Linked DNA regions of Ovis aries. The main gene of each other region encodes a partner of the protein of the gene in region 5 in a complex. Links are inferred from orthologs where the notes say so. Each region holds a gene or a part of one and is shown on either strand. Other genes may lie near its edges. The genes, in order: SNW1, DDX46, SF3A3, SF3A1, SF3B2, CRNKL1 and RBM48.

What was found.
Region 1: SF3B2 (region 5) and SNW1 share a complex: the UniProt entries of both Homo sapiens proteins name them as parts of the minor spliceosome. The link is inferred for Ovis aries from reciprocal best matches to the Homo sapiens genes SF3B2 and SNW1.
Region 2: SF3B2 (region 5) and DDX46 share a complex: the UniProt entries of both Homo sapiens proteins name them as parts of the 17S U2 SnRNP complex. The link is inferred for Ovis aries from reciprocal best matches to the Homo sapiens genes SF3B2 and DDX46.
Region 3: SF3B2 (region 5) and SF3A3 share a complex: the UniProt entries of both Homo sapiens proteins name them as parts of the 17S U2 SnRNP complex. The link is inferred for Ovis aries from reciprocal best matches to the Homo sapiens genes SF3B2 and SF3A3.
Region 4: SF3B2 (region 5) and SF3A1 share a complex: the UniProt entries of both Homo sapiens proteins name them as parts of the 17S U2 SnRNP complex. The link is inferred for Ovis aries from reciprocal best matches to the Homo sapiens genes SF3B2 and SF3A1.
Region 6: SF3B2 (region 5) and CRNKL1 share a complex: the UniProt entries of both Homo sapiens proteins name them as parts of the minor spliceosome. The link is inferred for Ovis aries from reciprocal best matches to the Homo sapiens genes SF3B2 and CRNKL1.
Region 7: SF3B2 (region 5) and RBM48 share a complex: the UniProt entries of both Homo sapiens proteins name them as parts of the minor spliceosome. The link is inferred for Ovis aries from reciprocal best matches to the Homo sapiens genes SF3B2 and RBM48.

Annotation. Positions count from the first base shown.
Region 1 is NC_056060.1:87,037,638-87,041,920, reverse strand, and holds the start of SNW1 (SNW domain-containing protein 1), read left to right. Parts: upstream 1-1,483; 5' UTR 1,484-1,505; coding exon 1,506-1,519; intron 1,520-4,283. UniProt on the Homo sapiens protein: Involved in pre-mRNA splicing as component of the spliceosome. As a component of the minor spliceosome, involved in the splicing of U12-type introns in pre-mRNAs.
Region 2 is NC_056058.1:43,902,225-43,905,724, reverse strand, and holds part of DDX46 (probable ATP-dependent RNA helicase DDX46), read right to left. Parts: coding exon 3,424-3,500; intron 2,659-3,423; coding exon 2,545-2,658; intron 1,239-2,544; coding exon 1,073-1,238; intron 366-1,072; coding exon 245-365; intron 1-244. UniProt on the Homo sapiens protein: Component of the 17S U2 SnRNP complex of the spliceosome, a large ribonucleoprotein complex that removes introns from transcribed pre-mRNAs.
Region 3 is NC_056054.1:12,733,427-12,737,621, reverse strand, and holds the start of SF3A3 (splicing factor 3A subunit 3), read left to right. Parts: upstream 1-1,395; 5' UTR 1,396-1,482; coding exon 1,483-1,578; intron 1,579-1,855; coding exon 1,856-1,903; intron 1,904-3,199; coding exon 3,200-3,252; intron 3,253-3,358; coding exon 3,359-3,464; intron 3,465-4,195. UniProt on the Homo sapiens protein: Component of the 17S U2 SnRNP complex of the spliceosome, a large ribonucleoprotein complex that removes introns from transcribed pre-mRNAs.
Region 4 is NC_056070.1:69,349,454-69,352,953, forward strand, and holds part of SF3A1 (splicing factor 3A subunit 1), read right to left. Parts: coding exon 3,357-3,500; intron 2,662-3,356; coding exon 2,540-2,661; intron 2,445-2,539; coding exon 2,199-2,444; intron 1,687-2,198; coding exon 1,479-1,686; intron 972-1,478; coding exon 817-971; intron 1-816. UniProt on the Homo sapiens protein: Component of the 17S U2 SnRNP complex of the spliceosome, a large ribonucleoprotein complex that removes introns from transcribed pre-mRNAs.
Region 5 is NC_056074.1:40,571,743-40,575,955, reverse strand, and holds the start of SF3B2 (splicing factor 3B subunit 2), read right to left. Parts: upstream 2,801-4,213; 5' UTR 2,776-2,800; coding exon 2,643-2,775; intron 2,475-2,642; coding exon 2,425-2,474; intron 2,136-2,424; coding exon 2,058-2,135; intron 960-2,057; coding exon 711-959; intron 498-710; coding exon 447-497; intron 1-446. UniProt on the Homo sapiens protein: Component of the 17S U2 SnRNP complex of the spliceosome, a large ribonucleoprotein complex that removes introns from transcribed pre-mRNAs.
Region 6 is NC_056066.1:39,174,976-39,178,475, forward strand, and holds part of CRNKL1 (crooked neck-like protein 1), read right to left. Parts: intron 3,225-3,500; coding exon 3,058-3,224; intron 1-3,057. UniProt on the Homo sapiens protein: Involved in pre-mRNA splicing process. As a component of the minor spliceosome, involved in the splicing of U12-type introns in pre-mRNAs.
Region 7 is NC_056057.1:10,622,543-10,626,800, reverse strand, and holds the start of RBM48 (RNA-binding protein 48), read right to left. Parts: upstream 2,801-4,258; 5' UTR 2,789-2,800; coding exon 2,678-2,788; intron 2,152-2,677; coding exon 1,961-2,151; intron 1,955-1,960; exon of another isoform or gene 1,257-1,954; coding exon of another isoform or gene 1,183-1,256; intron 482-1,182; coding exon 336-481; intron 1-335. Other genes in the region: peroxisomal ATPase PEX1, read left to right, coding at 3,148-3,273. UniProt on the Homo sapiens protein: As a component of the minor spliceosome, involved in the splicing of U12-type introns in pre-mRNAs.

The DNA.
Region 1 (4,283 bases), on a different chromosome or scaffold from region 5:
GGAGATTCCTTTAAAAATTGCAAATAGAACTGCCTTATGACCCAGCAATCCCACTTCTGGGCATACACACCGAGGAAACCAGAATCGAAAGAGACACATGTACCCCAATGTTCATCGCAGCACTGTTTATAATAGCCAGGACATGGAAACAATCTAGATGTCCATCAGCAGATGAATGGATAAGAAAGCTGTGGTACATATACACAATGGAGTATTACTCAGCCGTTAAAAAGAATACATTTGAATCAGTTCTGATGAGATGGATGAAACTGGAGCCGATTATACAGAGTGAAGTAAGCCAGAAAGAAAAACACCAATACAGTATACTAACACATATATATGGAATTTAGAAAGATGGCAATGACGACCCTGTATGCAAGATAACAAAAAAGACAAAGACACAGATATGTATAGCGGACTTTTGGACTCAGAGGGAGAGGGAGAGGGTGGGATGATTTGGGAGAATGGCATTGAAACATGTATACTATCATGTAAGAATCGAATCGCCAGTCTATGTCCAATGCAGGATACAGCATGCTTGGGGCTGGTGCATGGGGATGACCCAGAGGGTTGTTATGAGGAGGGAGGTGGGAGGGGGGTTCATGTTTGGGATCACATGTACACCCGTGGTGGATTCATGTCAATGTATGGCAAAACCAATACAGTATTGTAAAGTAAAATAAGGTAAAAATAAAAATTAAAAAAAATAAAAATAAAAAAAATAATAAAGCAGAGACATTACTTTGCCGACAAACGTTCGTCTAGTCAAAGCTGTGGTTTTTCCAGTAGTCTGGTATGTATGTGAGAGTTGGACTATTAAGAAAGCAGAGCGCAAAAGAATTCGTGCTTTTGAACTGTGGTGTTGGAGAAGACTCTTGAGAGTCCCTTGGACTCTAAGGAGATCCAACCAGTCCATCCTAAAAGAAATCAGTCCTGAATATTTATTGGAAGGACTGATGCTGAAGCTGAAACTCCAATACTTTGGCCACCTGATGTGAAGAACTGACTCATTTGAAAAGACTCTGATGCTGAGAAAGAGTGACGTTGGGAGGAGAAAGGGATAGGGAATGAGATGGTTGGATGGCATCACTGACTCGATAGACATGACTTTGAGTAAGCTCTGGGAGTTGGTGATGGACAGGGAAGCTTGGTGTGCTGCAGTCCATGGGGTCGCAAAGAATCAGAAACGACTGAGCAACTCAACTGAACTGAAAATAAAGTAACTTAAAAGGCATCTCAACTTCGTTATTATCATGCTTAGGGAATGCTCTATCATGTCATAGTGTAAGAGCGATGCGTTTGGGGTTTTCTTAAGTGAACCGTGTATCCCAGAACTCTGGTTGACAATGGAACCGAATTGTAGTCTTTTTCAAAGAACTACAAGTCCCAGAAGGCCGTTCGGCTAGGGCGCCTGCGCAGCGCGCGCCCCTTCCTTTCCACAGCTCTCCGCCCGGGAAAGGCCCGCCCCGCGGTGCTGTCGCTCGCGCTGGAAGAAGCGGAAGAAGATGGCGCTCACCAGGTGGGTTTGTTGATTCGGGTCCTCGATACGGAAGGGTCTGGGAGTACCCACCTTTTTCATTTCTCTGCCCACACTCCCCGGGCCGTCACCAGGCTCGGGCCACAGAGCATCTGTAAGCCGAGGCCACGGCTGGGCCTTCCTGCAGGCCGCTGGGACGGCTAGGCCTCGCCGAAGCTGGGGTCTTTCCTTAGCGGCTTCCCGGGTTGCCTTCGCCCCCTCGCTAGGGCCGAAAGTCGCGGCGTAGCCAATAGGTCTCTGGCCTGAGAGACCGCGGAGTCGCGCGTTTTTCGTTTGAGCGTCTTGGGGGTGTGGAGGGCTCCGCCTCTGGTCCGCGGCTCGGGTGGGCGCGATGCGAGTGTGTGGAGGGCAGGGGCTTATTTGGGCAGAGTGGAGCGGGCGGGAGACGGCGACTGCCTGGCTGTTTTTTCGCCGAAGTCTTTTCTTCTGTTTCTGTCCTAAACCAGGACTCCTGGAAAAAAAGGGCTGGGGAGAGCGGTACTGAAGGAGATTTAAAATCAAAAGCTACGGTAGTGGCCGCTGTCTGCTAGTTCCCGTCGCTGCCCGCACTTTTAACTTTGGGCTTTTTTAGAATTTCTTCCCTTAGATAGAACCGAGTATGATTTTTGCGGTTCCCGGTTGCCTTGGCAACTGCAAGTGATTAAAGTGGTCCCCGCCTTTAAGGAAAAGATGCTTAAAGAAGAGATTCGAAGGAGTTACGTAACTCCGACCTTGCTGCCCCATCTCAGTAGAAAACTTTACACGCAAACGAACTGCAACGGGAAAAGTTGACTGCCCAAGAGGGTAAAGAAAGGAATCGCGTTAGGACATCTGCCTCAGCTCCCCTGACACTCTTCATTATCCTTGTTCGCCTTTGTCTTGGCTGATGACCGTTATGAACCGTAAAAATACTTGGATGAGAGATTTCTTTTTCTGTCCTAGGGTTTGTGTGTATACAGAAGGAAAATCTGACAGTCTTTGGCAGCAGGGCAGATTGGGGTACAAGGCCTACAGATATGAAACGAAGAATACAGAATGCTTATTATGTAGTACTAGCGTGAAGTGCAAAAAGAATTAGATGGAATGGGCTGAATGAACTGGAGCATTTTCTTTAGTAAGTGTTGCAGGCAGCAAACATGCGAGTGAGTGCCCTCCAGGTGGGAGGCAGTGTGACAGAGACTAGTAGTGTTATGAGGAAACGCTTTGTGGAAAAGATGGAATTGAAAAGGACACAGAGCAAAAATACCAGAGATCTTGTCGGCATTGGGTGCTTAAAATTGCGATAGCAGAGTGCAGTCATTAAGTAGCTTGTCTTGGGGACTTACATGGAGTTTTAGCTGATTTGGTTTCTATAGACAGTTTCAAGTTTCCAGGTGAAGTGTTGTTATCGCTAAGATCTCCCAGAGATTCTTAACAGCAGAGACTAGTAAAAAGGAAAGGATAGACTAAGATGTCTCCACAGCGGCTCTATTGACATTTGGGGCTGGATAATTCATTCTTGTATGGGGCCTCCCTGCCTACATTAAGATGTTCATGAGTATCTTTAGCTTGTACCCAGTAGATGCCAGTGGCATCCCCACCTCTTCTCTTCCCTCTGCTTCACAAGTTATAACAAAATGTTTCCAGGTGTTGTCAGATATCTGCATTGTAGTTATTTTGCCCGCAGTTGAGAAATACTGAGGTAGACTTTTGTTCACTTAAGCAGCCCACCCCTACCATAGGAAAGTACCTCATGGGATTGTCATCCTTTACAGGGAACAGCAATATTAAGACTCTCTGGAAGGCTAGGATGCGTTCTCATTATAATCCAGGCCAGATTACCTGTTTACTAGATTGTCCAAACTCTGCCTTGACAAACTGCCTGCCTTTTGATCATTTTAGTGACTAGAATGATCATTTTCTTCCAACAAAAGGTAAAAGAGAAATGAAACCTAAGTAAATATTTTGGCTTGTTTCTGACTTTGTATCCCTCTATGTGTTAGTATACATGGTTTACTGGAAACAGCTATGGTATAAGCCCAAAATGTTTTGACTCCTTTCATCCATTCATTTGCTTAGTAAATTGCATATGTTGGGATTGCATGGATTGAAAGTACTTTGTGTCAGCTAGTGTTGCTATTGATTCTGTCAGGGACTCTTCTTACCCTCAGAGTTTACATTCTAGGGAAGACAGACTATAGGAGTAAACAAATCAGTAATACAATTTCAGGTAGTAAGTACTAGGAATAAAATAAAGGTATAGAGAGTGACGCAAAGAGCAGGGTGGAATGCTGTTTTGGTCAGGTAACAGCTGTAGGGAGGTATAATTGAGCAGGGACAGGAATACTGAGAAGCAAGCACTAAAGAATCTGATGAAGAGTTTTCTTAATAAGTAAATAGAATACCTATGGCAGTGGGAAAGCAGATATAAGGATACAGAAATGATTTGTTTAAAGAAAAGCAGTAAGTTTGTGACCGAAAAATGATGAGTGCAAAGAGTAGAGTGAAGTTATTTCTCCAGCCAACATTTGAGTAAAGCCCTATTGTGAGCTAGTTAGGCAGTGCTTTAAGAGTTAAGGATTAAAGAAACAGAAAGTGATTCCTGCCCTCAAGTTGCCCACAGTCTAATGAGAGAAAGAAAGATAAATCGATAGTGATTGCAGTACAGTAAGACAGATGTTGTAGTAGTGGTGTGCAGAGGGTCTTATGAGAGCATAGGTGAAGGGTAACTAACTTACGCTGGGGGAATTGTGGAACAGCTCCAAAAAATCAAATGTTTATGGAACAC
Region 2 (3,500 bases), on a different chromosome or scaffold from region 5:
TTGGGTTTGATGAAAACGCTCTAAAATTAGATTATGGTAATGACTACACAACTTCATAAATATACTGAAAATCGTAAACTAAAGGGTAAACTTTATGGAATGTAAATCATATCTAGAGAAAGCTGTTTAACAAAAAATCAGTATTTTCCATTAGAATAAAAATGTAAGCTAAGGAATTATTTGTGTAACAGGTTATTTTCAGTAGAAAGATATTGAAAAATGTGGACAACCGCTCAACACTTACTTTTTTAGAGAATTTAAGATCTTCATAGAAATTCCACACTGAACCCAAGATTTAATTGGTTTGGGGCAACCTTTACCCTTGACAGTAATGCCCTCCATTTCCAACCGAAATACATTCACCTCTACAAAACAAAATCCAGATTAAAAACTCTTAAATATTGTTCTGTTAGTGCCCTCTACTTTTCAATGAGGCATGGTTGTATTAAGAATCAATTCTTTTTTAGTGTTCCCAAAGATAATTCCATATAGAAGCTCCATGACAATGCACTGAACAGCTCTGACAAAGTGATTACTGTTGCAACCAATTGGGGTGCAAAGAAACACCCCAATTTCTACAACTTGGCTTTTATTTTGACTTAAATTCTAACAGCAATAAAAGAACAGTGATTCACAAGTAATACAACCACTTGTTCTTTAAGCAAGGGTTGCCCAGATCACGCTTTTTCCGTCAATATCACACAGATTCATATTGGTTTCTAATTCTCAAATAAGAGAAAAACAACAATACTCTACTTGCTAACTTCACATGAAGAGTATTTTCAACCCTAAATAGCTCAACTATGTAAGCCAAACTCATTTTTGCTCATTTTTTAAAAATGTTTCCCAAAACACACTAATTTCTAACTATTCCTAATCTTTGTGGATGTAGCAGTCTCACTCTCTAGAATGATTTCTCATGTTCTAGTTCACTCTCATTTCTCCAAGTAAGTCAGGCACATTTCTCCTACTTACCCATCAACTTACAGGCCTATCAACATGCCTCCCAGGCAAGGTGAAGTATATTTCCCCCATCCCCAAAATAACTGATAAATGAATAAACAAATTTTACCCTCTTGAGACATTTTTGCCAATTCTGGAACTTCAACATAGAAGTTTTTTCTGAATGGTTCATATTCAATTTTTCCATGATCCACTGGTTCTAGAAGCTTTCTCTGCTTTGTCTGGTAACCTGTAAGAGCTGTCTGAAGATCAACTTCTTCCTCCTCTGAAGAATACTGTAACAAAAAGAGAAAAACTAAGAGCTGAATCTATTACTGTCTTCCTATGGGAAGAAATATTCCTAACTTAAAAAATGTTCCACTCCTAGAAAATACTCTTTTCCTCTTCTTTTATTTTCTGAACTTTCCAACTTAGCTTATTTTTTCTTTGCCATCATAGAAAGCTTTAGTAACAATATAAAGCTAAAACAAAAAACTAATTCTAACATAGCTTTAATGAAGTTCTGCTATAGTTTTCTCTATATAAATCATTACAATAAAGTTTTCTCTATATAAATCATTACAGTGAGTGTTAATAGTAAAAAATTTCATTCTGTCACTTCATTTCTTCTCTCCCTATTCTACATCTGGGATGTACTGATGAGGGACAGGGATGAATCAAAATTTGGCCTACACATGTGCAGCAATACAGATGAACCCAGACAACATCATACCATGTGGAGTCAGTCAGAGAAAGATAAATACTATATGATATCACTTGAATGTGCAATCAAAAAAATACTACAAATGAATTTATTTTCAAAACAGAAACGGACTCACAGACATAGAAAACAAACTTCTGGCCACCAAAGGGGAATAGGAAGGAGGGATAAATTAGGAATGCGGGATTAATAGATACAAACTACTATACATAAAATAAGCAACAAGGATTTACTGTACAATGCTGGAGACCTGGGTTCAATCCCTGGGTCAGAAAGATCCCGTGGAGAAGGCAATGGCTATCCACTCTAGTATTCTTGCCTGAGAAATCCATGGACAGAGGAGCCTGGTGGGCTACAGTCCATGGGATAGCAAAGAGTCGGACATACTGAATGACTAATATTTTCACTTTTCACACTTTCAAAGGGAATTACATGCAATATCTTGTAATAACTTATAATGAAAAAGAATCTAAAAATATGTATGTGTGTGTATACCTGAATCACGTTGCTGTACACTTGAAACTAATACTATATTGCAAATCAACTATACTTCAATTTAAAAAAAAGTAGGTATACAAGAAGTTAAAGAGGTTAAAATGTTCTACCAGTTTGGATATCTGGCTACAATACTGTTGAGAAAAGCAAGAATTTCTCCCAAGAGTACACTGCGTAACTGAAAAGCACACCTCCATCAATGCTTCCTTATAAATACTCATAGGATGGTACCACGTGCTGTGTGCTCAGTCGTGTCCGACTCTCTGTGATCCCACAGACCATGGCCCACTAGGCTCCCTTGTTCATGGAATCCTCCAGGCAAGAATACTGGAGCGGGCTGCTGTTTCATTCTATGGTATCGTGAACAAAGTTAAAATTAAAGTTACCTCCATGGCATCCTGGTCATTCTCCATTAGCTCACCTTTCTTCTTATCAGAATCTACGACTGCTTTTTTGGTTGTGACAACTGTGACAACTTTTGTGACCGTTGGCCCAGACTTCTAAAAAAAGAATGTGAAATATTTTGCTAAAGTTGAAACACAAAGTATAAACCAAATGAAACAATGATAACTGTAACAATTTATAATCTGAATTAACTTAGTAGTCAGTGACTACTAATGCAAAAACAAACAGTAGCCCACTTTCTCCTTACTTAAATTTAAAAATGTAATACAACAGCATTATATTTCCTAACACATTAACACACAGGTAATTAGGTATGTAGTATGTAATTTTATATAATATTATGTAATCTATTTTTAAAATACTATTAAATAGTACTTTTCACTCATTCCACAAACCAAATACTATCCCAGGATCTGAAGATGAATCAATAAACAAAACAGGTAAAGATCACTGCTCTTGGGAAGATTTTAGAAGAAAGAAGGAACAAGCAAACACAACATTGAATTACACCATTTGTCAATAAATTCTATTAAGAAAAAGAAAACCTAGACTAAAGAGGATCAGGAGTATAAAATATGGGAGTGTTGGAAAAGGACCTACTGAGAAAGGAACAAGCAAGCAAAAACACTAAACAAAGATGATAATAGTAATGATGACTCTAAAAGGACATTTGCAGTTACAATTTGCTAGTATCTCTGCTCTTTAGAAAAAGCACAGACACTTCTGAGATGCAGAAGGAAACAAAATCATTAACTTTATAAAGCCATGCAAGCCAATAGTAGGTCAATGCAACAATGAATTCAAGTTATTCAACTAGGAATATAAATCTTTAAAAATAAAATAGGAAAAAAATCCCATACCTTTTCATTTCCCCCACCACCTTTCACACTTCTCATATTAAACTTTTTTACTTCCTCTTTCACTTCTTCCATGTAAG
Region 3 (4,195 bases), on a different chromosome or scaffold from region 5:
TCGAGTGTACAATTCAGTTGAGTTTAGCAAATTTAATAGATTTTTGCAACTATCACCACAATTCAATTTTAGAATTTTGCTACTGCTACTGCTGCTGCTGCTAAGTCACTTCAGTCGTGTCCGACCCTGTGCAACGCCATAGACAGCAGCCTCCCAGGCTCCTCTGTCCCTGGGACTCTCCAGGCAAGAGTACTGGAGTGGGTTGCCATTTCCTTTTCCAAGAATTTTTCTATCACCTCCAAAAGATTGCTTTTGCATTTCCTTCCCATCTCACCTCTAGCAGCAGGCAACCACTCACCTACTTTCTGTCTCTGTAGATTTGCCATCTGGACGTCCACTAATGTGTGTGTGTGTGTGTGTGTTGTTGTTTTTTTCTGCGTGTCTGCTTTCTTTCACATAACATGATGCTTTCATGGTTCATCCATATTGTAACACTCCTTTATTGCTGAATAATGTTCCATTGTATGGATACACCATATTTGGTTTGTATATTTACCAGTTAATGACTGGGGGTAGCAGCTTTGTTGATAATGAATAGTGCTGCTATGCATGTCTGCACATATGGACATAGGTTTTCATTTCTCCAGCTAGATGTGGGCATATAGACTTGTTTCGGTTTTTTTTTTTCCAGTTATATAATATTTTACTGCTTGAATGCACTATATTTTATTTAACCAGTCCCTTGGGTTTCCCAGGTGGCACTAGTGGTAAAGAACCTGTCTGCTAATGCAGGAGACATAAGAGATGTGGGTTTGTTCCCTGGATGGGGAAGATCCCCTGGAGGAGGGGATGGAGACCCACTCCAGTATTCTTGCCTGAAGAACCTCTTGGACAGAGGACCCTGGCGGGTTATGGTCCATAGGGTCGCAAGGAATCGAACATGATTGAAGCGACTTAGCACGCACGCAGCACTGCTGATAGACAATTAGGTTGTTTCCACATAACAAAAGAGAGGAAGGGAAGGAGAAAGAAAAGAATAAATGAAAGGAAAAAAACCCGCGATCATTCCCATTTTACTGAGGGAAAAACGTTGTCACAGGTCACACTGAGCTGGAGACTCAAGTTCCGGTTCATCAGCTCCCATACGTGCGCGTCAGCTACTCAGTCCAGGTCCCTACCAGCACGGCCGCACAGCTAGGGAAGTCCCCGCCGGCCAGGTCAGATTCCTTAACGCCAGGCTGATGGATTTCTGTGTGCCCCCTAGAGGCACCTGCAAATCGTTCGGTATCGCGCCACACACCTCCGGCCAGCAGGGGGCACTGCAGCAGTCTCCATAGCACGGACTGGGTCTTTAGCGGTGCTCACTTTTCCTCGAGTCCCCGAGGAACTTCCGGCAACCGCGGAACTTTGGTGCCTCCGGACTCGTAACTTGCGGACGCGGGCGCGCAAGGCGGCAGGGGTTGTTTCCGGTCGTGTTGGTGGACTGGCTTGAGCTGGGGCGGCAGCGACTGCGGCGGCGGGGGAGGAGAAGGAGGAGGGAAGATGGAAACGATTCTGGAGCAGCAGCGGCGCTATCATGAGGAGAAGGAACGGCTTATGGATGTCATGGCCAAAGAGATGCTCACTAAGAAGTCCACGGTGAGTGGACCTAGGCAGGGGCTACCGTAAGGCCGGGCCCCCGGCCCGGGTTTAACCTCAGAGTTTTTTTCAGCCCTCAGACCCGCCCCGCCCCGAGCCCTTCGGGGGATTCCCTCCCCGAGCTCAGGCCTAGGTAACCTTTCCCCGGGGCCCAGCGCCCAGAGGCCTCTCTGCTTGGGCTGCTAAGACCCGAGCAGGTAAGCTCCGCCCTCGGGCGGCCTTCCCAACTCCAGAATTCCGACTAACGGCGTATATGTCACCGTTTGCCTTTTTTCAGCTCCGGGACCAGATCAATTCTGACCACCGCACGCGGGCCATGCAAGATGTGAGTGTCCCGCTGTCCGCTTCTCTTTGGGCACGGTAGACTGGAAGAGGAGGGAGGGGGTGCGGGAAAAAGGTAGCCGATTGGCCAGTCGAGGAGTTTGTATGCCTGCCGAATGTACGCGCCGAAAGCAACCCTGAGGATGTTTAACCACCCTTACTCCCTTCTCCGAATGGAGTACTCTTACTCATTTTTAATTACTAGAGAAGATCCCCTTTACAGCATCCTGTGTCCCATGGATGTGCAAAGAGTAGTTATGAGGTGTCAATGCCTCAGGCTTAGAAGGTACTCTCCTTCTCCCCCATAGAAAAAAAAATAAAGACCCTAATCAGAGTTTCTGAATTAGGATAGATAAATATTACTAGCCCCTAATCCCTTATTTAGATTCCCAAATCCAAAGTATTCTGAAAACAAAAGATGTTTTAATTTGTTTTGGAAATTATTTGGTGGCAAAAATCTGACTTGATCTGATCAGATGAGAGGTTTTTTATGGTCTTTATCCCATTCAATAAATAACATAACTTTCACTGCAGAACTAATTAATGTGTTTTCCAGATCCCACTAGGGATATTTCATGTAGTACCTTCCTGAATTCCAAATTCAGAAGCAAATCTGGTTCCAAAAGTTTTGGAGAATGGGCTATGTACTTGTGCCATCCTGAATTTGAATCCAGAGGAAGCTGTGTGGTGTTTTACTTAGCCTGAGCATTCCTTAGTCAAGCCTTTTGAAATAGTGGAAGTCAACTTGGACTACCCTTTTATCTTTGAGAGTCTTTGATGGGAACTGCTGTTTTCCAAAGGGTGACTCTCACATGGCTCTCTTTTACAATACAATACTTCTACTGTTGTTTAGTTGTTAAGTCATGTCCGACTCTTGCAACCCAATGGACTGTAGCTTATCAGGCTCCTCTGTCCATGGGATTTCCCAGTCAAGAATGCTAGAGTGGATTACCTTTTCCTTCTCCCGACCCAGGGATCCAACCCACGTCTTGTGCATTGGCAGGCAGATTCTTTACCACTGACCCATCAGGGAAGCCCATGACTCTTCTAGGGAAAGTTAAATATGGGAACTCTGCCACCCCTCAAAACACATTTCTTAGGTAATCTTCAGAGTGACCTGTTTTAAAAATTAGCTAGGAGCCAGTGTTGTCTGTTAAGGGTACCAGAAAGCATAAGAACTTTTAACACCACATGTCTTGAAGTTTTCCTGAGATTTGACTAGAGAGCCCTTGTTGGTTGCTTGGGTCTCAGTTGTACGGGCGGATTGCTTCATTCTAATGGATTTGTGTTTGCCTTTCAGAGGTATATGGAAGTCAGTGGGAATCTGAGGGATTTGTATGACGACAAGGATGGGTAAGTCACAGTCACATTCAGTCCAGCAATTACTGCTTTTGAGGGGCCATGGTTAAAGGACTGACTTTGTGCTCCATGTTTTCTGGATTTTTTTCTGAAATTGCAGCTTACGAAAAGAGGAGCTCAATGCCATTTCAGGACCCAATGAGTTTGCTGAATTCTATAATAGACTCAAACAAATAAAGGAATTCCACCGGAAGCACCCAAATGAGGTATGACCTTGCAAAGTTTTTTCTCCAGTCCTGTCCAAAGAGTATACAAAGGACATGTGTTAGGAAAATGGAGATGGTCATTCAGATGTCCTTTCAAAAAGGAACTTACCAGTTAGCAATAAGCAGCGTAGTTAGGTGACATCCTGCAACTGCGAGTTCTTTCAGAATTTCCCTCAGCTTTAAGCTAAAGCCATTCTCTTCTAGGGCTTCCCAGGTGGCTCTCATGGTAAAGAAGCTGCCTGCTAATTCCCTGGTGGTTCAGTGGTAAAGACTGCCTGCACTGCAGCAGTTGCAGGTCCAGTCCTTGGGTCTGGAAGATCCCCTGGAGGAGGACATGTCAACCCACTCCAGTATTCTTGCTTGGGAAATCCCATGGACAGAGGAGCTCGGCGGGCTGCAGTCCATAGGGTCGTAAAGAGAGTTGGGCACGACTGAAGCGACAGAGCACACATATTCCTGGGCAGCCCCTAACCAGCGACTGAACACAGTGTGGGGGAGGGGTATCACAGCCTGGTTATTTCTGCCCACTGTGAGACTTTCAGTGAGATTTTCTCATATCTACATCATGGTCTAGGCTCTCTCTGCTCCATCCCTCCATCCTGCTCGCTCTCTCCTTTCTTTTTTTTTTTTGGTGGCCACACCTCATAGTTCATGAGTTCTTAGTTCCCCAAACAAGGATCAGAACCGTGTCCCCTGCATTGGAAGCATGGAGTCTTAACCACTGGACCACC
Region 4 (3,500 bases), on a different chromosome or scaffold from region 5:
GCCTGATTCACTACTGACACCAGCTGTGACATCGAGCAACTCACTCCCCTTTTCAAGAACTGATCTCTTTCTTTAGAATGATCCCTAACCTGCCTAACAGTGAGGCTGGAGCTGAAGAAGGGACATGCAAGTGCTCTGCAAGCCTCAAGAAGAACCACAGGGGCAAGAACATGAACTGTGAGGTCAGAAGACCTGGGTTCCCAACTCAGTGAAGCGGCTGATCACAACTGCTGGCCGGTGAGGCTGCGAGCCTTCAGTAAAAGGTGTGGTTCTATCCCAGCACTTGAGTAGGTACTCAAGAAATGGAAACTACTGTCAGAAATGAAAAAAAAAAAAAAAAAAGATCTGCTCAAATGCCCTGGGGCAGTGGGGCTGGGACTGTTTCTGCCTCCTCACTAGAGCCTGCCAGCTTCCCCAGGCCCCGGAAGTGCCGAGGTTCCCAGCTCTTGTTCCTAGTACCCCAACAGGATCCCTACAATACAAGACTCCTGAGGGCGGCAACTGGAGGCAAAGGTCACAAAGAAACGAAGAACTGTCCCCAGGATTTCCTCCTGCGTCCTGAGCCCCATTCATACTGGAGTCCGGCTGCCTGTGCAGCTGGGTCCAGGGGGGCCGCTGACAGCTGACGGCTGACCCCACATTAGGCATGCTGGGCACTTGGAAGCCTCAGAAGCCTCCTGGGCCTCCAGCAGCTGACCTAGGTCCCAGCAGCCAAAACCACGGGAGCAGCTCAGGGTGGGCCAAGGCATGTAACGGGCAGGATGGTTCCGCCGACCTGTCTGGACACTGCAATGTGGGCAACTCTGGGTCACATGCCTTGTTTCTGCGCAGAAACTCCTCCTCGGGCATGAGGCTGTCCTCGGTCTTCAGTTTCTTAGACGCAGGCTCGTCTTCCATGGGAGGCGGGGGGTGGACAGGCGGCATGGGGGCTGGAGCAGGGACAGGTGCCACAGGCGGGGCGGGCACAAAAGCTGCAGGGCAGGAGCGAGCAGCCACATGAATGGGAGGAAGGCACCCAGGACCCTGGGGGCTGACGGTGAGGGGAGACTGCACAGGTTTCCACCTTCTCCCCGTCAGAGGCGTGAAAGACCACTCCTGGCTGAGTCTGGCAGCCAGTGAGCTCCCCGGCAGAGGACCTGGGCACCTGCCCAGACTGGGTAGCAGGAAGCTGGAGGAAGGGCGGGACTGATGGAAGGAGCAGGGGCTGCCCACAGGATCCATCGTCAGGCCTCAGCGCCCGTCCAGGCCTGACCCCACTGGGCACACATACCCCAGCTCTGCCTCATCAGCCTATCTCCCCCAGGAGCCAGGAGCCCAAGCCCCTGCACCCCAGGGATCTCTCACAGAGCTAAGCTAAGGCTCTCCTCTGGGCTGGAGCCACAGCTGGAACAGCTGGTGCTCCCCTTAGCCACTGCCCTGCTCAGGGCTTGCCCTGTAGCACCGACCCAGTGGCCTGGAAAGCGACATGAGACACTGACCTGTCGGCACAATCATGGGTGGTGGGCGAGGTGCCATGATAGGAGGGGCCGAGGGAGGCATGGGCACCACGTTGATCCTGGGTGCATGGATGATCGGCGGCATGGGGGCGATCACCGAGCCTGGGGGCAGCCGGACCACGGATGCCATCGGGGGCCGGGGCATGACGGGTACCGCGGACACAACCGTGGTGCGGACGGGAGGCGGCATCTGCGGGCGGAAGGGACCCACGGGTCACAGGAAGCCAAGGCTACACCCCAGGGCACACCAGCCGGCAGCTGACCCCCTGCAGCCTCTGGGGATGGCGCTGGATAGCCTGGAGCTGAGAGCGCAGCCTCACATGGGGCTCTGACAGAACCACACGGAGAGAGACCCAGGGCGACACTCTTGCCACTTCGGACTCCACCCACGAGAGAGAAACTGAAGATGCCCTTGACTCAGTCCACTGGACTCAGGCCAGCGGTCCTCCAAGGCCCCTTCAGTCCTCCTGGCCTCCCTGACCCAAGCCTGCTTCTCACATTTGCCACCCGCCTCCTTCCCAGCTCCAGCCCTCCCACACAAATGGAAGGCCAGGTTGGAGGTTCCCACTTCTAACTAAAAGGTTCTTTTCTCGACTTGACCCATTCTGCCCTTGGGCTCCTGTGAGACCACTGCCCTGGGCTGGCACCATCCAACCCAGGGAACCCAACTTCAGGGGCCCGTCGGGGTGGCTGCGGGCTAACCGCGGGCGGCCGGGGCACCGACGTAATAGGCGGGGCCGAGCTGGGGATGTTGGTGGCTGAGGACGGCGGTGGCGGCTGCTGGGGGATCTCGCTGGGCTTGCTAGGGCCAATCTTCTCTTTGGTGTCATCCTCTGGCACCAGGCCCTTCGCCTTGTGGATGGCCTCAATCTGCTCCTGGAGGGTGATGTTGGCCTGGGCGGCCTGCTGGGTCCGGGCCATGCTGCCAGAGTGGCCGTCCCAGGTCACCTGCACGGGAAGCAAGGCCACACTGGTCAGGGCTCCTGGAACTGAGCGTGAGTGGGGTGCTGGCAGGAAAGGCGGAGGCAGTCACCGAGCCGCACCTTCTCTTCCGGCTTCTGGATCTCCTCCTCGCCAATCTTCTTACCGATGGCTGTTTCCTCCACACCAAAGATGTCCGTACGCCGCTCGGCCAGCTGCTTCAAGCTGCTCTCAATATCCAGACCTGGATAGAATCAGGGAACAGAGAGGAAAACTAAACCCGGTGCCAGTCCAACAAGATGGCGGCTCAGTTGGTGCAGGTGGAGGCTGTTCTTACGGGACACAGCTGTCTGTGGGTGCCAGGGCCTCGCGCCGGCCCTCTGAGCCTGGGGAAGGCCGACGACCACTAGGCCTGGAAACCGGGGCGTGTCCAACCCCCACTTGATGAAAGGCATCCGAGCGGACAGGCCACATGAGCAGCGTGGCAAGGGGGAGAGTGCGGACTCTGGGAGGGGCCTCCAGCCTCCGGGACAGTCCCTCCCTCCCTGCAGGGCTGCTCCTCACAGTCAAGGGGCCAGTGTGTCTCAATTCAAGATGCTCAGCGCCCTCCAGCCGCCACAGCCTCTACTCTAAGACGGCCTGGGAGTGAGCACCCCTCCCGGCTGCAGTCAGATCCTGCTCCAGGATGCCGATGGGCACACGCCACCCACCTCGGGTGCCCTCCTCTGCAGGAATCCTCTGCAGGGTTTCTAGGAAGCGGGCGGTTCTTTTGTGGCTTCCTAGACCACACCTATCCTCAAAAGCTCCTGGTGACCTCAAAGCTTTCTACATTTGATTAAAGCGTGCTGACTATTAACTTAAGAGATCCCAATGGGCCAAAGTGAGTTAGGGCTGAGTCAAAGGAGGAGTGTGGTCCGAGTGGGGAACACCCCGCCTTACCTGGCGCGTACACCTCGTCATCGCTCTGCTTCTCACGGATGGAGCGATCCCGCTGCTCCAGCCAACGGGGGTCGAGAAGCCCAATGCGCATGTGCTCCTGCATCTTGCTGGCAGGGATCTTCTCCCCAGTGATGGGGGACACAA
Region 5 (4,213 bases):
CAGGGGATCTTCCCAACCCAGGGATTAAACCCACATCTCCTGTCTCCTGCAGGCAGACTCTTTACCCACTGAGCCATTGGGAAAGCCCAGTAGGGGTCAGGAAATTTCTTCTGTAATGGGCCAGTCAGTAAATATTTTAGGCTTTCTGGGTTGTTTGTAGACTGTTGTAAATTCCTTTCCCCCATCTCCCCGAAACAACCCTTCAAATATATAAAAACCATCCTTACATCACAGGCCATACAAAAACAGGCTATAGTCCACAGATTACCAATTCCTTGGCTATGTGAAAGAAAGAATTATTTGGGAGATAATGGAATTTAGATGAGGATGAGGTAATCTCCATGGGAAACCTGAATGGCACGGCTAATTTTAGACAGTAAGCACTAGAAGTGACAGACGATGGATTAGACCATGGAGGTCAAAGGTTAGGAAGAGGGAGGCATTACCCGCTTCTGCTGCTCCAAAAGCTCATGTTCCTTCAGTGAATGATCTCCCTGCTTAAGAAAGAAAACGAGCTCATTCCAGTACCCACACCCCACCGGCCAGTCTACCACAGCTCTGCTTCCTGGTCTGCTCTTCCAGCCGAGGCCCTGAAGACTTGGGTCCAGACCTTCCCAGAAGCCTTGGCCCCAGGATCCGGCTCCCCTGGAGGCCCTACTCCCTTTTCAGGACCCTGGTGAGACCCAGGCTCAGGCTGCCACCTGCCCTACCTGCTTGGCACGCTCCTCCTGCTGCATCAGCAATGCCGCCTGCTGCTGCGCCAGCTTCAGCCGCTCTTCCTCAGACAGCGCCACGGGCTCACCCACCCGGAGAGGAGGAGGAGGCCCCAAGTTTGGCGGGCGGGGTCCAACTGCCATAGGAAAGCCAAGGCCAAGGCCAGGTGGGGGTGGTGGGGGTGGTGGAGGGGGTTGTAGAGGAGGGAGACCCATGGGTGGGGGCGGCATGGGAATCCCCGAGAGCTGTGGGGGGAAAAAAAGGCCATTAACTATGAAGCATTTATGTAATGGCAGGCATTTGCTGGGGAACTAATATAAGGCTGGCACTGGGATTCAAAGTCAAATGATGCACAATTCTTGCATTCAAGAAAATGCAGGGCTTCCCTGAAGGTCCAATGTTTAAGAATCCGCTCAACGCAAGGCACATGGGTTCGAGCCCTGCTCTAGGAAGATTCCACGTGCTGCGGGGCAACTAAGCCCATGTGCCGCGTGTGCTGCAGCTGCTGAAACCCGTATACCCTGGAGCCCGTGCTCCGCAACCAGAGGCCACTGCGATGGGATGGCCGCACAACACAACTAGACAGTAGTCCTGTGCTCGCTTCAACTGGAAAGGGCCTGCACACAGCAATGAAGACCCAGAGCAGCCAAAGACATAAAGGAAAAAAGAAAGAATACTCTACGGCAGTATCGAAAGAAGAGCATTTTAACTTTGTGCCACCAACTGATGAAAGCTGTCAACTCTGTCCCAGAAGAACATCATGAACACAGACTTCACATACAATTTCAGGAGACTCACGGACACCTCTAAAGGCCTTCTGAAAAACTCCTCAACCCCTCAAAAAATAAAAACCTTCTTATGCCACACATAGAAGTCCCTGGACCCCAAGTCAGGGCCACTGCTCTACAGAAAAACTATCAAATCCTGGATCAGAAAAGACATGGAAATTGAGAGTATTTAAATAAATAAGACCCAGTGTGCCCCAATGACTGATTAAATATAGAAGGTATGAAATTAAATCAGAGAGTAAGCCCTAATTTCTCATTGAATAACATGGGAACTCTGCACAGGGAGGGCAGAGAAGAGAGTGATTACTTCCAGCTGGGGAAGGATTATGTCAGGTTTCCAGATATTTAAGCTGAATCTTAAATGACACATGAAATTTGGAGGAACTGACACTGAGAAAGGAAGTAAGAATCTGGACGAAGGAAGAACTGAAGAGTTCCCAGTTCTTTCATCAGTGTACCTCCCTGCCCAGTGGGCTACGTGTATCCCCCTGTACGCTCAGAGGAGGAGCTACTCTGAGTAGAAAAGAATCTTATCAAGTGAGACAGTCTTCTTACCTGTGCTGACATAGGAGGAGGAGCAGCTTTGTCCCCATCTTCACCTCTCAGAACGGGACGATTCAGGACGATGCCAGTCTGTGAAAGTGAAAAGAATCTAGGGCAGTCTAAAAGGAGCTGGTGCATGAAACAGCGTTCGCTCTCGTCTATTCAACAAAATTTACCCAGTGACTGTCTGCCAGAGCTCGGAATGGGCTCTGGGAAGAAACGATATATACAAAAGCAATTATAACACAGCAGATACGAAGCAGCCAAGACCCCACTTGCTGTACCGAGATTCGTAAACAACGAAGACCGAGTTGTAACGGGTCATTAATGCCTCCTGCAAACGCTCGGCCTATCCTCATGTCCCGCCACCAACACTTACTTGGCGAGTGTAAGCCTGCAATCGCTCCACAAGCTCCTCGCGACTCCCTGCTAAGCAAAGCACAGGATCAACGGGGTAGGTCAGGTCGAGCAGGCCAGCCTGCCCAAGTCAGGCCACCGCGGCCAGCCTCTAACCCCCGCCCCCGGGTCTCCGGGGTAACCAGCTCCGCTTCCCCGCAGGCCTGCACTTTCCTGCCCTTGACTTCCCATGCTCCTCACCCTGGATGGGAGCTCCGATCTCTGCTAATTTGGCCTGAAGCTCCTGGGCAGCCCAGGCACCATAGTGTCCAGGAGGCGGCGGCGGCGGCAGCTGCAACTCTCCCTTAGGAGGCTCCGGATGCTCGGCCGCCATCTTAGCCGCAGGAAGGCGCGCGACCAACCCGGAAGCTCGGACCAGCCTCCGGACCCACTTCCCGGAACTTCCGGTAGGGCGATACGCCACGTCCGCTCGAGGGTTGCCAGGCAGTTCCCATCAGGGCCCACCCCCTACCGTTCTCCAATGCTCCTTAGGCCGCCTGGTCGCGAAGCCTTCTGGGAGTTGTAGTGCACAGGTCACGATCTCTGCGGATTCAAATCCGGGAGGATCGCGGCCGGCCGCGACGCGGGGAACTCTGGAGGCCAGAGCCGGGGCGGGGCTGTGGGGAAAGCAGGTCCTGCCCGAAGGGCGTGCTTTCTGCATCTCACTGGCCTCAGCGCAGACCTCCCGCCTTGCGGCGCTACTCCCTGGTTGGACTTGAGAGGCCTGGACGCTCACGTTCTCCAGGGACTCGTTCCCCCGGCGGTCGCGCGCTGTGGGCGCCAAGCGGGAGTTTGCCGCCGATGCCTGTGATAAAACAGTGTCTGATTGTCTGCCCGCCCATCCCCGGCCCAGGCATGGATGAATGGGCTGAAAGGAGATCGGAGACGGGAACGAAGCCGGCCCTCCGGGCTGAGATCCAGCTGCCGACCTGGGGGAAGGGCCACACTAAAGCCCCTTTTTCCACCTTCCTGGCCGTCTCAAATGTCATCTACGTTAAACTGTCTCCCGCCTTTCCTGCTCTGGAGCGGCCAAACCTCTACCATTTGTTTTGAAATCTTTCTTGCCCTTTTCTGCACTTACAACTCCCAAGACATGAGTTTTTACGGTCTCACAGTACCTGGCGTTAGAAGTGCTCAATGAATTATTACTGAAAGGGGGAAAAAAAAAAAAAAAAAGCAGTCTTAAGCGACAAGATTTGGATCCTTTTTTAGTCTTGAAAATAAACGCAGGGGAATTCCCTGGTGGTCCAGTGGGTCGAACTCAGTGCTTTCCCTGGGGAAACCCGGGTTCCATCCGCGGTCAGGTAACTAAGATCCCACAAGCCGCACCGCAAGGCCGAAAAAGAAAGAAAATAAACTCAGGACCTTTTCTTCCCTCATCCCCACCAGCTTACTGGCGCAGCAGACCCTGTCTGGTGCTCTCCTACCCCACCAGCGGCCTGTGCCCCTGAGGGAGGGATGGGCAGGTGGCCCTTGCTTGCCCCCTTCTGCTTCTCCCTGTCCTGATCAGTCAGTTCAGTTCATCTTCCCACCTCTGCCTCCAGCTCTGAGATCCCGTTCCCATTCTAGTGCTGCTGTCTCACAGACAGCCAGGTCGCAGCCAGTGTGCATGTATGTGTGTTGGATGAGAGAGCGGGGCAACTCAAAATGGTCTCTATTCCCTCTCCCCTCCCTCCACACCCGCATCCCTCAGATCTTCTCTCTAGCATGCTCTATTTCACGAATCACCCCCAACAGAGCAGTACCTGGGAGGAGGGAAAAAAGAATGGGAG
Region 6 (3,500 bases), on a different chromosome or scaffold from region 5:
ATCTAAAAACCTGTGAATAATAAATGTTGGAGGAGACACGGAGCAAAGAGAACCCTCCTACCCTGTTGATGAGAATATAATTTGGTACAATCATTATGGAGAACAGTATGGAAGTTCTTAAAAAAACTAGAAACAGAATTACCATACGATCCAGCAATCCAACTCCTAGGCATACATCTGTAGAAAACCCTAATTCAAAAGACATATGTACCCCAATGTTCACTATTTTAATTTGAAGCACTATTTACAATAGCCAAGACATGGAAGCAACCTAAATGTCCATCAACAGAAGAATGGATAAAGATGATGTGGTGCATACATACAACGGAATATTACTCAGCCATAAGAAGGAATGAAATAACATCATTTGCATCAACATGAATAAACCTAGAGTATCAAAAAAACAAACAACCCAACCAAAAAATGGACAAAAGATCTAAGTAGACTTTTCTCCAAAGAAGAGATGTAGTCATACTAATTGAAGTAAGTCAGAGAAAGACAAATACCGTTTATCACTTATTGGTGAAATTTAACAACACAAAATGACACAAATGAACGGTTTGGCAGAGAGAAACAGACTCACAGATCCCAAAATCAAATTTACGGTTGTGGAAGGGGAAACGTGGGGGGAAGTGATGGACTGGGAAACTGGAATTAACATATATACACTACTGGGCTTCTCTGGTGGCCCAAGCGGTAAAGCAGCCACCTGCATTGCAGGGCACCTGGGTCTGATCCCTGGATCAGGAAGATCCCCTGGAGGAGGGAATGGCAATCCACTCCAGTGTTCTTGCCTGGAGAATTTCATGGACAGAGGAGCATGGTGGATTACAGTACATGGGCCGCAAAGAGTCGGCACGCACGCACACACACACACACACACACACACTACTGTATATAAGATAGATAACAGGGACCTACTGTATAGCACAGAAAACACTTCTGTGGTAAATTATATTGGAAAAGATTCTAAAAAGAATGGATATATGTATATACATACATATATATATAAAAAACTGACTTAGTTTGCTGTATAACATAACATTGTAAATCAACTGTACTCCAATAAAGATTTAAGGGAAAAAAAGAGGAAGCTGCTGGTGGTCCAGTGGTTAGGACTCAGTGCTTTCACTACCATGGCCCAGATTCAATCCCTGGTTGGGAGAACAAATATCCTACAAGGTGTGTGGCAAGGCCAGAAAATCAAAAAAAAAAAAAAAAAAAAAAAAAAGAAGAAAGAAAGAAAAAACACGTCACGAAAAGAAAACTACTAATCAGAGCCAACAGAGACATTTTTTATTACAATTTTACTTCTTCATAGGATGTATTTTTCATCTACTTTCCTTGAAGAAATCATTAAATTTCAAAGTAGTAACACATTCCAATAGGGCAATGATTAAAGAGTACGCAGCCCATGGGGTCGCAAAGAGTCGGACACGACTGGCGACTGAACTGAACATGTTCCAGTTGGGCAATGATTAAAGAGCACCGGCTCTGAAGGTGACTGGCTCAAATCCCAGCCTCACCAGCACCTGAAAGGTGCTATCCTGCCTCAGATTCCCCATCTGCAGAAGGAAGCAGCTTCTGAATTGAGGGCTGTCACAGGGATTAAACAACAGTATCTGTAAAGTGCTTATCATAACGCATGGCACAGAGCAGGTGCCATACATGCTTTTGTTAAACTAGTGATATCAAAATGAGTAGTCACAGCTAAGATGCTAAAATTACATAATAAAGTTGAGTCTCGTTATCTCACGGTACCTACACTCTATGAAGTCACTCTGCCTGGAGAACACCAAATCGCTGCTCCCAGAGGAAATATGTATGCATGATATACACCCACATATATACTATATCTATACATACGAATACACACACATCTCACATAGACTGTGATTTTCAATCCTAAAAATAACTATCATTGGCAAATTCTTTTATTTTAGAAAAGAGAAAACAAGTCTCAAGTGTTAAGTGACATGCCTAAAGCTGCCCACTAACCGGTGCCAGAGAAGGAATTCTGTCCTGCTCAGCTGGCCCAGAGCTGGGGCGTCTCCCTCCCCTGCACTGCCCCTCCCGCTCCCTGCCCCGGTCAGCCCTGCAGGAGAGCAGAGACAGGAAGGCAGATGGTTGTCTTGTTTGTCCTTCACTGGGACCAAGTGCCTTGGGGGATGCAAATTTTTTATCACTCTGGGCATGTCTGCAAATGACTGCCAAAGTGCCACCAATACTGATTGTGGATCTATGAATAAACGCTATCAAATAGGAGATAAACCAGCACAACAACAGTGAAACAAGAATCAAGCACTGCTGAGGGTGCTTTCCCATCACCATCTCCTTCCTCCTCACAATCAGCCCACAACAGGGACTTTTACCTCCCTTCTAAAGATGAGGGAGCTTCCCCGGTGGCTCAGTGCTAAGGAATCTGCCTGCCAATGCAGCAGACACCGGTTCGATCCCTGGTCCAGGAAGATCCCACACGCCATGGAGCAACTAAGGCAACGTGCCATGACTACCGAGCCTGTGCTCCGGAGCGTGGGAGCCACAGCTACTGAGGCCTGCGTGCCTAGAGCCAGTGCTCTGCAATGAGAAGCCTGCACATGTCATCTAGAGTAGCCCCTGCCCGCTACAATGAGAGAAAAGCCTGCATAGCCAGAAATAAATAAGTAAATAACTGAGAAAATAAAGACGAGGACACCTAGGCTCCAAGGAGTGATCTGACGCATCGAGATCACATGGCTAGTAAACAGTAAACCTCTGGACCAACTCCAGTACCAGTGCCCATGACCAACATACACCCCAGAGCAAACAGGGCCTTACAGTATTAACTTCCATAAGGAACCACAGTGTTAATGCCAAAGGATAAACAAACCCAAGTCTCCCTGGAAAAGAGACAACTATCCCGACCACAAACTTTTGTTCTGAACAACTATGTCCCTAGAAAATATAAACGCAACTTATGAAGCAGAAGTTGACTTCTGGGCCAAAATCAGTGACTATGTGTCCCAGCCAGACCACAGCTCCCCAGCAGTGCAGCAGGCAGACCCATCCAAAGGATATAGCGCTCATAGATGGTGCGGGCCCGGTCCACCTCCTTGTATCTCAGCTCGAAGTTGATGTATGAATGCCAGGCCTGCTCCTCGGGCCGCCACTCCATCCAGCGCTCGAAAACCTGCCGGGCACCAGCGACGTTCCCGAGCATCTCTTCCATGTACGTGTACTTGTACCTTCAATAGAATCATCTGAACTTATTGGTCACAGTCAAAATGACTTCAGAAAAAAACGGTCTTTGGCAATCTCTGGCTCTAACTTTGTTAACACGTGAAGAGTCAGGGCTTTATCTTCCCAAAAGGTGAAGTCAAACATGTTTCACCTATTAAAATATAAATCTGAAAAGGATTTATATAGCAACTAAGCCCATGTGCTACAACTACTGAGCCTGTGCGCTCTGTAGCCCATGAACCACAAGTGGAGAATAGCCCACACATCACAATGAAGACCCC
Region 7 (4,258 bases), on a different chromosome or scaffold from region 5:
TTATCTCAGATTCACATGTCAGCTGCTGTGTTGTGGTTATATTACTCACAGTTCCTTAAAATGCATGACGCTCATTTATTCCTCTGGCCCATCTTTCCATCTGTTCCTCTCCCTTTCTGGGTAATGTCTACTTTCCCTTCAGAACTCAGCCACCATTCTCATCCTGCAGGAATCTTCCATGAAATAACATCTATCCCTTCCCAGGCAAGATTACATAACATTCTGTAAAGAAAAAACTTCGTAGCTTATAGTCACTAGACTGGGAAAACTCTAGGAGGGTAAACTCAGCAAAATGCCTGACACATTGGAGGTGTTTAGTAGTAGGCTTTACATACCTTTATTTTTAGTCATTCTTGCTACATAAGCATTCCTCTCTTGTAATTTCTTTCTGGTTTCTTCAACTGTTTCAAATTCTGGAGCATAGCACACATGAAGCAAGCCACCAAAGAAACTCTGCTCATCCATTTTTCTCTTGGCCATCCTAAGCAGAAATTCACGATACCATGGTTTACTTAGGGTGAAAGCTTAACCAGCATACAATGCATTGATCTAAAAAGCAAAGTCCAGACTTTGTTGTATACATAAATCCTATAGCTTCGGAGCTGCGATGCTCTGCACGTGAATGGTATTGACCCTACTGATCCACTGCATATTCTTTCAGAGCCTTTTTCCCCCTCTCCCAAGAGTCTTCATAGGTTTTAAGCTAAGTTTTCCAAACATATCCAGACTCCCTTTAACCAACATAAGATTCAGCTGGTTGGCCTGAGGTACACAATCTGTGGTCATGAAATAGAGATTCTGTGTTAAAAGGCCCTCAAAAATTAGCTCATGCCCAGCTTAGCCTTTTTAGCACAATGTGTTCCTATAATGGGGTTCAAAGATAAGAAATTAATAAAAATATTACAATTATAAACATTTAATAATGGAGAAAACACAAATATATAACAGTAAATGAGAAAAGGAGAGGATAGTATTCATTTAATGTATACTTACTAAACATCTATGACTGGCCAGGAATTACTACGAAATTAAGTACTTCTGTGTCCAAGGTAAATGGTAAGAAATATTCACTGAGATTTTACCATGTGCCAGGCAGTGGCCTAAATGCTTCACTTGAAATCACACTTCTCAACATCCCTATGATGACTCTGAGGCATGGGGAGATTATTTGTCCAAGCTCACCTTGGTTTGTGGAGCCAGGATTCAAATCCACATGTCACACTGTAAAAGGGGTGTGGGAGATGCAAAAGCTTCATGGAATGAATACACAATAAGGAAATATACTTCCCTAACCATGAGGAGCTGGCAAGTTGGTTAGGGCAGTGAGATTATACATAAGAGCAACTGGAGAACAATATATGACCCATATACCCCAGTACTGTTTGTAGCACAGAAAATGTGAATTGTAATAGCCAGGGAAGGGATGGGTCTTGAAGCAAATTAGTGACAAGAATATAAGATGAGGCATTTCATATTTCCCTTACTACAGCAGAGGATTTATGCTATTCAGAAGAAAAAAAAAAAAAGATGGGGTCAATTCATATAGGTGCATAACAAGAAACCTAACAGCTAATGTTGTTTACCGCATTCTGAGCAGGAGGCATCTGCTAAGCCCTCTACATGGATTATCTCATTTCATCCTTACACATTTTATAGGACAGGAAAACAGGTTTAATGGGATTAAATAACTTGTCCAAGGTCATCATGTTAGTAAGCAGTGGAACCTGAAAACTTAGTCCAAACCCAGTTTTTAATCTACCACACTACAAGACAGAAAATGGTTACACATGGGGATGACCTAATGGACAGACTTTTGATAAAGCTAACACTTACATTAAGAATACTGGAGAAAAATAAAAAGCCATGTTAGATTACTGAGTAATTCATGAAAGAATGAGGGAGGCCAAAATGATAGCAATGGGAACAGAGGAAATGAGACACTGCCTGACTTGTATATTACCTTGCGCTTTGTAAATTGAGAAATTTAATAAGATAAACTTCTGTAAAGTCTTCTGCTGGGTATTCATCTAGAGCATTATACTGTTCAATTGCACCATATAGAGCAAATCGCTCAACTAATTCCTTCATTGCTCCCACGGCAGGAACTCCTTGTATTAATAAGTACCAAGACTCCAAATTGATTGTATAGACCTAAAAGAAATGCACACGCATTAAATGTGTTTCACAAACAAGCCTAGGACAACCTGTTACTATTCAAAACAAACAAACAAACAAAAACCCTGAAAACAAGAACTACTCTGTTCAGGTCTGCAGAAAAGGTGTTTTTGTTTTTGTTTTTAATCTGCCCTTCTCTTTGTAGAAACAATAAGTCACCCTACATGTGAGGGCTTCGAGCTAAAGCACATAATAGACTACCTCCAATCGACATGTCTTCAGAAGCTGCCTCGGTAAATGTTACAGGAAAGAGTTAAATATTCACTACTGTAAACACGGAAGATACGACTAAAACACATACCCCGTTTTCACGGAGCTCCAACAGTTGACTAAAGAGGCCGCGAGAGTATCTGCTACCTGGGTACCGGCGTCCCTCACACTCATCTCCAGCAAATGGATGTGACCGCAGCCTTTCAAGACTTTATTTACATTAACTGGGCGTGTGAAGCTACAGCTTACATAAAGCTACCGACGACAACGAATGAAACCAAAATCACTTTACCTTCACAGCGCGAGGCCGTCGGCCCTCCCGATACTTGGCTCTCGAGTCACACACAGCCCTTTGGACGTGGTGATCGAATACGCCCCCAACTTGCCCTCCACTGGACGCCATCTTGCCGGCTTTGGCCCTCGCAGAGACGACAACATCCGCCTGTTGCCCTCCTGATTACCCAATCAGAGAGAGGGATGGGTCAAGGCGCGCCGAGATTGGCTGAAGGAGCCACAGGGTTGGCCATCGTTTCCTGTGAGCAAGTAGGCGGCGAGCGAGCTGCCGCCCTCCAGCGGCGCGGCGGAGAGGCCCGGCGAGCCGGACTGGGCTGGCCTGCCGCTCCAGCTCCCGAGGCGCGGCGGGCGCGAGGGGCGGGGCCTGGGGGCGGGGCCGATCGAGCGTAGCAGGCCCGGTCACCCTCGGTCCGCAGGCAGCCCGGGTCCGCTGGGGTGGGCCTCCGGCGGGGCCGTCGCTGGCGGAGGATGTGGGGCAGCGGTCGGCTGGCGGGTGCTGCTGGCGGGGCGGCCGTGACCGTGGCCTTCACCAGCACGCGCGACTGCTTCCTTCACTTGCCGCGGCGCCTAGTGGCCCAGCTGCACTTGCTCCAGGTAACGCGCCCGCCCCATGGACTCCCCAGCCCGGACTCGGGACTCCTCGGGGGCCGTCTGCGGCCGCCCGGGACCCAGGCCTTTTCGGGACGCAGCGGCCGCTCGGGCGTCTCCCGACGGCGGGACGCGGGCTGCTCTCCCCGCGCCGCCGACCTGTTCATCAGCCAGAACGTGGGCCGCTCTGGAGCAGGGCCGGTCCGGGCGGTCTTTGCAGCCCTACCACGTCGGGTGCAGCCCCGGGCCTTTGCGTTAACTTGCCGTACGTATTCCAGGTCTTCACTCGGTGAAACTGGGCTCTCAAACATCCTGATAATTTTCTCTCTGAGTTCAGCTATTCCTCACTCCAGGTTGGAAAAGCTTTGGAGAAGTCGGGTTTGTCTGCGGATTTTGTTTTGTTTCGATCGTAAAAAACGTTTTTCCTGCCAGTGGTTTCCAGGTGCGCCTGCCTGGCTGTGGCCCAGGAGTCCCTGTAAATTAATAGAGACTGAGCCGCGAGCGAGATAGGTTAATAAGATGAAGGTTCTCGCTGCGTCTCCGCTGCTCGGAATACCTCCTAGGTGTGCCCGGAACGTGCAGTGGGATTATGCATACTTGGACCTCTGCAGTTAGTTGCCCTCTGGACATTGTGATTGTGGTAGTTCATAGTTCTAACCACATCCCTAGTTTCGTAATTATAAAATAGGGGCACCTGGTCTACCAGTTTGAGTGTGCTATGAGGACAAAAAGAATACTTGAAATCTTTGAAAATCCTGGATGCACAGTACCCACTACGGGCTAATCCTTGCAGGAAATATTTAGGAGTTTGCAATAATTTTAAATATCCCACCTCTCCATTTTAGCTACTTGCCTTTAACTACTTTTCTAGATTGTTTTTCCCCAGTCTTTCAAAGCATGTTAATTTCAATAGATCCTGCCATTGTTGCTTTTACTATAGAGAGTCTCTTGGAGCTTCCCAGGTGACAGCTAGTGGTAAAGAATCCTCTGG